Linked DNA regions of Xenopus tropicalis. The protein of the gene in region 1 purifies or fractionates together with the protein of each later gene. This does not show direct contact. Links are inferred from orthologs where the notes say so. Each region holds a gene or a part of one and is shown on either strand. Other genes may lie near its edges.

What was found.
Region 2: the proteins of trmt6 (region 1) and trmt61a purify together in Homo sapiens (affinity purification with mass spectrometry; 4 studies listed by BioGRID and IntAct, counting the BioPlex papers as one, with this or other methods). This does not show direct contact. The link is inferred for Xenopus tropicalis from reciprocal best matches to the Homo sapiens genes TRMT6 and TRMT61A.

Annotation. Positions count from the first base shown.
Region 1 is NC_030681.2:25,117,158-25,121,773, reverse strand, and holds the start of trmt6 (tRNA (adenine(58)-N(1))-methyltransferase non-catalytic subunit TRM6), read left to right. Parts: upstream 1-1,646; 5' UTR 1,647-1,744; coding exon 1,745-1,848; intron 1,849-4,616. UniProt on the Homo sapiens protein: Substrate-binding subunit of tRNA (adenine-N(1)-)-methyltransferase, which catalyzes the formation of N(1)-methyladenine at position 58 (m1A58) in initiator methionyl-tRNA.
Region 2 is NC_030684.2:98,372,822-98,377,438, forward strand, and holds the start of trmt61a (tRNA (adenine(58)-N(1))-methyltransferase catalytic subunit TRMT61A), read left to right. Parts: upstream 1-1,543; 5' UTR 1,544-1,636; intron 1,637-2,652; 5' UTR 2,653-2,675; coding exon 2,676-3,006; intron 3,007-4,617. UniProt on the Homo sapiens protein: Catalytic subunit of tRNA (adenine-N(1)-)-methyltransferase, which catalyzes the formation of N(1)-methyladenine at position 58 (m1A58) in initiator methionyl-tRNA.

The DNA.
Region 1 (4,616 bases):
CAGATTTCAAATGGGGGCCAAAAAATATTGCTCTGTGAGGCTACAATTTTATTATTATTATAATTTTGTATTACTTATTTTTCTAAGTAGGCCCCTTAACTATTCATATTCCCATCTCTTGTTTAAACCACTACCTGGTTGCTAGGGTAAATAAGACCCTAGCAACCAGATAGCTGCTGAAATACCAAATGGAGAGCTGCTGAACAAAAAGCTAAATAACTGAAAAACCATTAAAAATAAAAGTGAATTGAATGCGAACTACCCCTTTAAGCTAACTGATCACAAACACAAATGTTTGCAGATCCCCTAACAGAAGTGCGCGTATGAATACTTTTACATCCTAAACATTTTAGGGTAAAAAAAAAAAAGCACCCCCACCCGCACTTTTGTACAGTATCCCTGGGAGTCAGTGGGAACGGCAAGAGGTAGTTGGGAGGTTAACTTTTTACGCCAGCAGCGAATCCACTAAGTGTCACATTAGCTGTAGGTCAGTCTGTGTATGGGCCATCTTTAGCCTCCCCTAGTATCATCCTGCAAAAAAAAATATATATATTTTTATATATATATATATATATATATATATATATATATATATATATATATATTTGTCTGTTGCAGGATGATGCTAGCTTACTTGCCCCCCCTTGGAAAATTTTCTGCGGACGCCCATGGCTCCCAGTAGGTATCAGAATAGCACTCAATAGTAGGGTTGCCACCTGTCTGGTATTGGCCCGGACAGCGCAGTTTTTGGAAGGACTGTCTGAGTCAAAACCTTCTGCTCGGTTTCCAAAATTAGGAAAACTGGGCAGGACTCACTGACATTGACACGGCGATCGGGAAATCGACGCTCACCATGTCATAGCCCCACCCCCTTGGCATCAAGGCCTCGCCTCTTCCCCACCCCAAAACTTTGCGGACAGGGACGAGGTACTGAGATGGCACCAACACACCAATATTACAGTTAAAAAAAAAATACATTTGCTGATTCAAGAATAACATTTTAAATGGCAGAGTGAATTATTTGCTATGTAAACATTGTAATTTAGAAATAAAAAGTACCCCATAAAAAACATAACTGAATCCCTTCAATAACTCCTGCTATTGAGCTCCTGTCACATTACAGGCTGTGCTTATACAGATCAATGGCAGTAGCTTTGCTTTCTTTGCCTCGGCCATCTCATAATTCTGCTTTGTGCAGTCACCACTATTTAGCCCCAAGAGCAAGCCACCCTTGCCTAAATCCGTCCCTATTTCATAATAAGCACCTACCCGGCTCCTTCCAGCCGCCTCCTCCCTCACTACTAATTCCAAACTCCGCGCCTTCGCGTCACTTCCGCCCACTGACACAACTGGTTGCCTTAGCAACCGCAGCTAGGAAGCTGCACAGCAATGACGCTCTCCTTTTCATTTAGTAGTGTAATTGCCCTTGTGTCACAAACCCTTCCAATATTTGATTTCACCTCTTTCTTAACCCTTCGGCCTCCCCAAAGCAAAAGTCACACTGGCCCCCATACATTCTAGCCAGCATGAGCGGCGTACCGGGGGACTGAGTAGATTACGTCAGTAGACCGCCGAACGCACGATGCGCTCGATTCTCTCAGTAGTTGATTGCTCCGGTCTATTGCCTGGGACCCGGAAGCAGTGTGCGGGTAGCACATGGGTTGCGCTTGGCTGAAGCCGGAGCTGTAGCAGGGGGGTAGGATCGTGTCTCCCATATGTGCGGAGGGCTTGGCAGGAGGGAAGCATGGATGAGTGTGACACTGCCCCCAGCAAGCTTGTTAGTGAGGGCGACTTCGTGGTACTGAAGAGGCAGGATGTGTTCAAAGCCGTGCAAGTGCAGAGGAGGAAGTAAGTAGGAGTGTTGGTGCAGTGACAGCAGTGCGCTCTCACACAGGGCTATGCGCATCAGCACTTCATTCAGCATGTTTAGCGCCTGCCATGCTGGCATCGTGTCTGTAAGGGGAAAAACACACGGAGCTACTAGTAGCAGCTACTTTTTCATGGTTACTAAACTCCAGAAAATACCCTGCCATAGACAATACTGAGAATTGCCTCTGCTAAGGGCTCTGGTACACGGGGAGATTAGTCGCCCGCGGCAAAACTCCCTGCTCGCAGGCGACTAATCTCCCCGAGTTGCCTTCCCTCTGCCATCCCACCGGCGAACATGTAAGTCGCCGGTGGGATGGCAGACGCGGCGGGGCGATTTCGGGAAATCGCCGAAAAAGCCTCGCGAGTCTTTTTCGGCGATTTGCGCGAAATCGCGCCGCCGCGTCTGCCATCCCGCCGGCGACTTACATGTTCGCCGGTGGGATGGCAGAGGGAAGGCAACTCGGGGAGATTAGTCGCCCGCGAGCAGGGAGTTTTGCCGCGGGCGACTAATCTCCCCGTGTACCAGAGCCCTTAAACACACGTAGAGACAATTATCAGTATATGATCAGTATTGTTTGTTTTAGTAGCTGTGATGATAAGTAGCTGCTACTAGTAGCTCTGTGTGTCTTCACCCTGAGGGCAGTGGTACACGGGGAGATTATTCGCCCACGACAAATCTTCATTGTCGCGGGCGACATCTCCCAATGTAAATGTAAATGTAAATGATCAGCATTGTCTATTTTAGTAGCCACAAGTAGCTTTGTGTGTCTTCACCCTAATGGTTATCGCTGTCACCTACTGGCCTGCTGATTCAGCATCTGTTATTGTGTGTAATTATAAAAGCAGAATGGTGACTAATGTTTGGTCGGCAAGTTTGTAGTTGGTCCTTAATCCTGGAGCATGCTGTGGGAAATGCTTGTCAGTAATTTGCTCTGTCAGGGGCAATTGTGCTGAACAAATGTATGTATATTTTTATTTATATAATAATCCTCATGCAGGCAGCACTGTATAACAGATATCGATTGTACCAATCATAGAAAACTCTTTACCCACTGGAAGTCCAACGCTCCTACATCATGCACATAATGAGCAAGCTGAGGGACTCCCTTATTAGGCTGATGCCACACACGGCGTAGGGCTGATTTTTTCGGCAAGCGGAAAAACGCTTGCCGAAAATTCAGCCCTACGCCTGCTACTTGTGCCTGCACCCGAATGAATGGGATACGCTTGGGTGCAGGCACATGTAGCCGATATACGCATGAAAACGCGAGAGAATGCAAAGTCTCGCGTTTTCATGCGTATATCGGCTACATGTGCCTGCACCCGAGCGTATTCCATTCATTCGGGTGCAGGCACAAGTAGCAGGCGTAGGGCTGAATTTTCGGCAAGCGTTTTTCCGCTTGCCGAAAAAATCAGCCCTACGCCGCATGTGGCATCAGCCTTATGTGCAAGCATGTCATCAAATATGACCAACCACACCAGGAGTTACCCAGCTATTGCAAGAGGCATGTTTTGGGGGAAAAAACAATTTAGACCCTTACTGGAGTGCAGGCTCTATAAGCTTTTTCAATGACAGATGCCCTTTAATGTAGCAACAAGTAATAGAAACCTGCATACTAGTACTGTAACTAAAAGTTCTAAGCACCATAGCAGAATTCCTAAACTTTGATTAATTTATTATTCTTTATTTATATAGCGTTGACACATAATGCTCCTGCTGGAACTGAATCTAGGATCCCAACGCTTCAGTGCTAATCACTATCCGATAGAGATTCTTTCTACTTCTAGAACCCACACCATCTTCTGATTCAGCTGTCTTTGTGTTGTCCCCACAAGCAAATGTCACTGCAAAGAGAATTATCCCATATTTCTGTATGTGCAAAAGTGCAGCAACAAATGTACAATATTTTGGGATTATCCTTAATGGTTTATGTTCAAGCTAGGATCTTCCTGCTGCTGTTAACTGACTCATATCCAATAGCAAGGAGTTGCAGCATACTGGTTTTGTAAACTGCTGGTAGAATGACCTCTTCATATTAAATAGCCCTGATAACAGTACCTAATAAGGGATTTCATAAATATTCTGTTAATGTGTGCTGATCAGATGATTGGGAACAGATATTATAGTGGCAAGGATATTTTTGTGACTGGGAAAGGTAGACAATTTTGGTCATATCCCCTCGTTTGTACGACAGTATCTGTAAATACAGTGGCTTGCAAAAGTATTCGGCCCCCTTGAACTTTTCCACATTTTATCACATTACAGCCACAAACATGAATCAATTTTATTGGAATTCCATGTGAAAGACCAATACAAAGTGGTGTACACGTGAGAAGTGGAATGAAAATCATACATGATTCCAAACATTTTTTACAAATAAATAACTGCAAAGTGGGGTGTGCGTAATTATTCAGCCCCCTTTGGTCTGAGTGCAGTCAGTTGCCCATAGACATTGCCTGATTAGTGCTAATGAGTAAATAGAGTGCACCTGTGTGTAATCTAATGTCAGTACAAATACAGCTGCTCTGTGACGGCCTCAGAGATTGTCTAAGAGAATATTGGGAGCAACAACACCATGAAGTCCAAAGAACACACCAGACAGGTCAGGGATAAAGTTATTGAGAAATTTAAAGCAGGCTTAGGCTACAAAAAGATTTCCAAAGCCTTGAACATCCCACGGAGCACTGTTCAAGCGATCATTCAGAAATGGAAGGATTATGGCACAACTGTAAACCTACCAAGACAA
Region 2 (4,617 bases), on another chromosome or scaffold:
TCCCCTTACTATGGGTTAATAGCTGCATGACCTGCTAAATGTAAGTCATATGCTATTTGTCTCTTGGATGAGATGATAGTTTCCTTTTGTTTGTCCATAGCCTTAGTTACTGTGAAAACCCCATAGATTCTGTGTTAATATACATCAATTATTGTGTGGCAACATGTTAATCTATGCATTTAGTATAGGTGTTCTGTATGAGAGCCATATCAGGATGTAGGGAGCCTAAACTAACAAGTGAACCCACCAAGGGTATGATTATGGAGTGAAGAGTGATCAGATCAAGGGGGCTTAAATTGGTAAGGACAAGATAATCATCCAATAAACATGTGTGTATGTCTATGTCTAAATCAGTCTTTCTATGTTTTAGGGCAACTTTCACAATGCTCACAAGTTTAAGAAATTCTCTTTATTTCTTGCAAATAAATCACTGGGTGTAGCCTAGAGCAGGGATCCCCAGCTTTTTTACTTGTGAGCCACACTCAGATGTACAAATTGTTGGTGAGCCACACAAGCATGAAAAAAGTTCTTTGAGTATTCTAAATAAGCACTGTGATTGGTTATTTGGTAGCACCATGTGGACTGCTGGCCTGCGGGATGCTCTTCTTGGAGTCTCTGTATCCGTGCTTCCAAAACTTGTCTCCAAGCCAGAGATTTAAAAGTGGGCTTTGAGGCCACTGGGAGCAACATCAAAGGGGGTGGGGAGCAACATGTTGGTCACTATCCACTAGCTAGAGTATTATCTTTACAAAATCTTTATACTAACAAAAAAAATGAGGTCTCTACTACCTTTAGGGCTAGGCAATCTTCAGGCCTGTGGGACACGTGTGTGGCTTTAAAATTTCAGAATTTCAGAATAACTCTCATCCTATCAAAGAATATCACTGACATCTTTGTGTGACATCATTTTTTAAAAATATAAAGGGCCCTTCAACAAGTGATATCACAGTGGAGATTTGACATTGGCATGCACATCTGGTAAAACGAATGCATGCTTTATAATCCATTTGTCCAAGTGCCCACTACCATCCTATCCTTTCATTAGTACTGTTGCTGTGGAGAAATGTTTTTTTTAGCAATTTGGAAATTGGAATTAACTGTGATTTAGAAAAGCGTATAGAGCAGGGTGGTTATGGTGTGGGAAGGTACTGATGGAGAAGTCACTGCTGACAGCAGAAAGCCGCACGGCACTAGGGCGGGCTTGTAAAGAAAGTGTGAGGGGGTCACAGTAATGATTTCAAATACAAATGCGGCATTTATTTATATTTAATAGCCCATTGTAGGTAACACAGGTTCATCTCACAGAAAAGGTGCAGCAGAAGACGTGCGCATCAGCTCTAAGGGATTAGTTGTATAAAGCCCAAATGTATCTTTTCTAACGAAATGTATATTATTATTAATTTATCCTGCCAGCACGCATTTTTGCTTAGGCTGCTAATGTTCCATCCTAAACCCAGCCAAGATACGTGGTTTATATGCTCAGGGAACTTCCCTGCCAGCACCACTGACAAGCGCAAGTCTCCGTGACGTCATCTCTGTGCGACGCGGAACCGGCACACGTGCCTAGTAGGAGGAAGCGGCGTTTTGCCAGGGATCTTGTGTACAGTAGTTCCTTGCTACATTCCGGCTACAAATCGTGAGTTTTTATAAAACAGAATATCCATGAGGCTAAGACATCTGTTAGCTTGTCTAAAATGTGTGATATATTCACTCATTTCCATTAATAATAATGATAATCCAGTTTCTGATGATGTATTCCTCAGTGGCCCACTGCCCATCAATATGTCAAGTCGGTGTGTGGTGGGTGTGATACTCCAGTTGCTTATGATGTATCACGTGAATACTTTTACATTCTGTAGTGGAGTAATACAATCCAGGGTCAGGGAGCTCCTTAAATAGTGATCTTCAAATAGGAAAGGGAAAAGGTCCTTTGCTTCCAGTTTCTGATATATAATACACAAAGCAGGTGCAAAGAAGAACTGGGTATTCCTTGTATTATGCAAGCTATGACATTCCAAAGGCAAGGATGTCAAAGTGTAACATCCCAAAGCATTGTGACCAAGTACTGTAATTCCTAGTTTGTAATGCTCACAATGTCATAGTAAAGATTTGTAGATTTCTTTGGAGAGCATATATATCAGATCAGTGTTTTAGCCATGTTACTGCTTGAAAGGTTTATTGGGCTAAATGTATTAGATTAAAATAGCAAACAACAGCCCATTTAGTAGTGGTAGCACATTTAACTGTGGTATATCTAAAGTGTGCTCTAATAAATGAAGTCGTTTTCATGTTGGCGCTTAAGATAAATCTGGCATTCATTCACTTTCATAAACTGGGCTCTATAGTGCACGACTTTTTCATTGGTATAAGGTGCTACTTAAATTTTAATAGGGGTTATTGATGACAGATTCTCTGATAGACAGTGCATGTGTCATAAAATATATACATTTACTGCCCTTCGTCTTGGTCTTATACTTCTTACCATGCAAACTGCTTAATGCATAGGTTGGGCAATCTCAAACCAAATATATTCATCAAATATAATTAAAATTAGACATATATCTTTTTAGAAAGCACCATTAAACTGGTTATAGTTTGTGAAATTGCTTTCAGTTAGAACTGACAATATTTTTTGGTTCACTTTACTTTTAGGTTGAACAGCAGAATATAACAGCATGAGTTTTGTGGAATACAAAGAATTTATTGAAGATGGAGATACAGCCATTGTCTTCCTGGGTCATGACTCAATGTTTCCAATTACCATCCAAAATGGTAGCCAGACACAGACAAAATATGGAGTCATCAGACATTCCACTGACTTAATAGGAAAAAAGTATGGGTCCAAGGTGATTTGCAGTAAAGGAGGATGGGTCTATATCCTATACCCTACTCCAGAGTTATGGACCCTGAATCTTCCTCACCGCACACAAATCCTTTATTCCACTGACATTTCTCTTATCACAATGATGCTGGAACTGAAGCCAGGATCAGTAGTATGTGAATCAGGTAATGTGTATGCATGTGTGGCATGCAGTATATGTGACATATACAGTTTCACACTGTTTGTTGCTAGTGACATAGATGTGTGCGGCTACCTTCCCCTTTTATTAAGTAGAATTTTTACCCAGGAAATACACAACAAATGGAACATTTACTGAAAACATATTCTGTTTCATTGTTAAACCATAGTGTAAGAACTCATTTTGCACTAATTTTATCTCACCAGCTTTAGGAGATGCTTGAAAAGAAGGTATTACTGTATCTGCACTCTGCCTTTCATTTCTTTATGATATGAAATAACAGGGGGAGATAAAGCAATTAACAACAAAGCAAAATAGTGGGTAGTATGCCACATCTGCTTAAAGGACAATGAAAGGTTAATATAAATTAATAGTAAGTCTAAAGGCATTCTTTTTAAGTACTTACTGCATATCTAAATTCCCAGATCCCTGCTTGCTTCTCTGAGATATGGGGCTGGCAGCCTACAGCAGTGTGAAGACTACAGTGACATCACTGAAATCTCTCTCCCCTTCCTGTAGGTGCCAGTGGCAGCCTTCCTATTCTCTGAGCATGTGTGTAACTTGATCCTGTCTGCTGTTCTAAGCTACACATGCCCACCAGCCAATCAGAAGCGGATCTGCCAGAGGGGAGGGGGGGAGGGAATGAAACACATGTGCAGTATGAAGCAAGGAGGTAAAGGAAGGGAGAATACCTTTTTAGAGATGGCTGCCTGTTCTAGAAAATATGAAGTAAGTGTGACTGAGTAAATATTTGATTAGGTGAGCCAAAAGTGTGGTGTTTTTACTAAACAATAGGAGGACTATTGGGCAGTATGCTTTTTCAATTTTGACTTGCATTCTCCTTTAAAATAACCCTTGACATTGCAGTCTAGCTATATACAGTATCAATACAGCAATAACTCAGTATCACTGAGAGGCATAATGTGCTTTAATCCCAAAATGTTGAGCATTCTTAGTTTCAGCTAACATAGTCTGCCTCATATAATACAATAGCAGAGCTTGTGGACCTCTAAAATGCCTTTTTTACAGTAATAGAACAACTGTATTGGACACCACTACCAAGGCAAGAAATATCAGATTAAGATACAGAGCAAGCAAGGGAGGACTCTTTTCAAATAAAATAATGCATGGATTTAGGTTCAAGGCTGGAGAAATTACTCTGATTGCATAGAATAAAGGAACACATAAAAATCAGATGCATTTGCTTACTGATAAAACAGTTTAGTAGCAAAACCAGCCATAGTTCTCTGTAACTGTCCAAGGTTTGTCAGGTTTATGTAGTTGTTAACAGATCCCAAACAACTATATAAATTAAGGCTGATGATAACCAGGACTTGAGCCATAGGTCCAAGCCTGCAGAACATAGTGAGACAAACCTATGGGCAAATAACTGTTTTACCTATACTATTTTTGCATCTATTTTATAATGGGTCTGTATAAGTTCTCACATTATTTATTCATAGTAGATCTATAAAGAGAACATTAGGGCATCCCCTGATATTGAAAGAAAATAGGTTGCAAAAATGTTTTTTTTACATTGACAGCTGTGAAGTGACTGTACTAACAGATACATTAGATAGATTAAAAAAAAATGTTT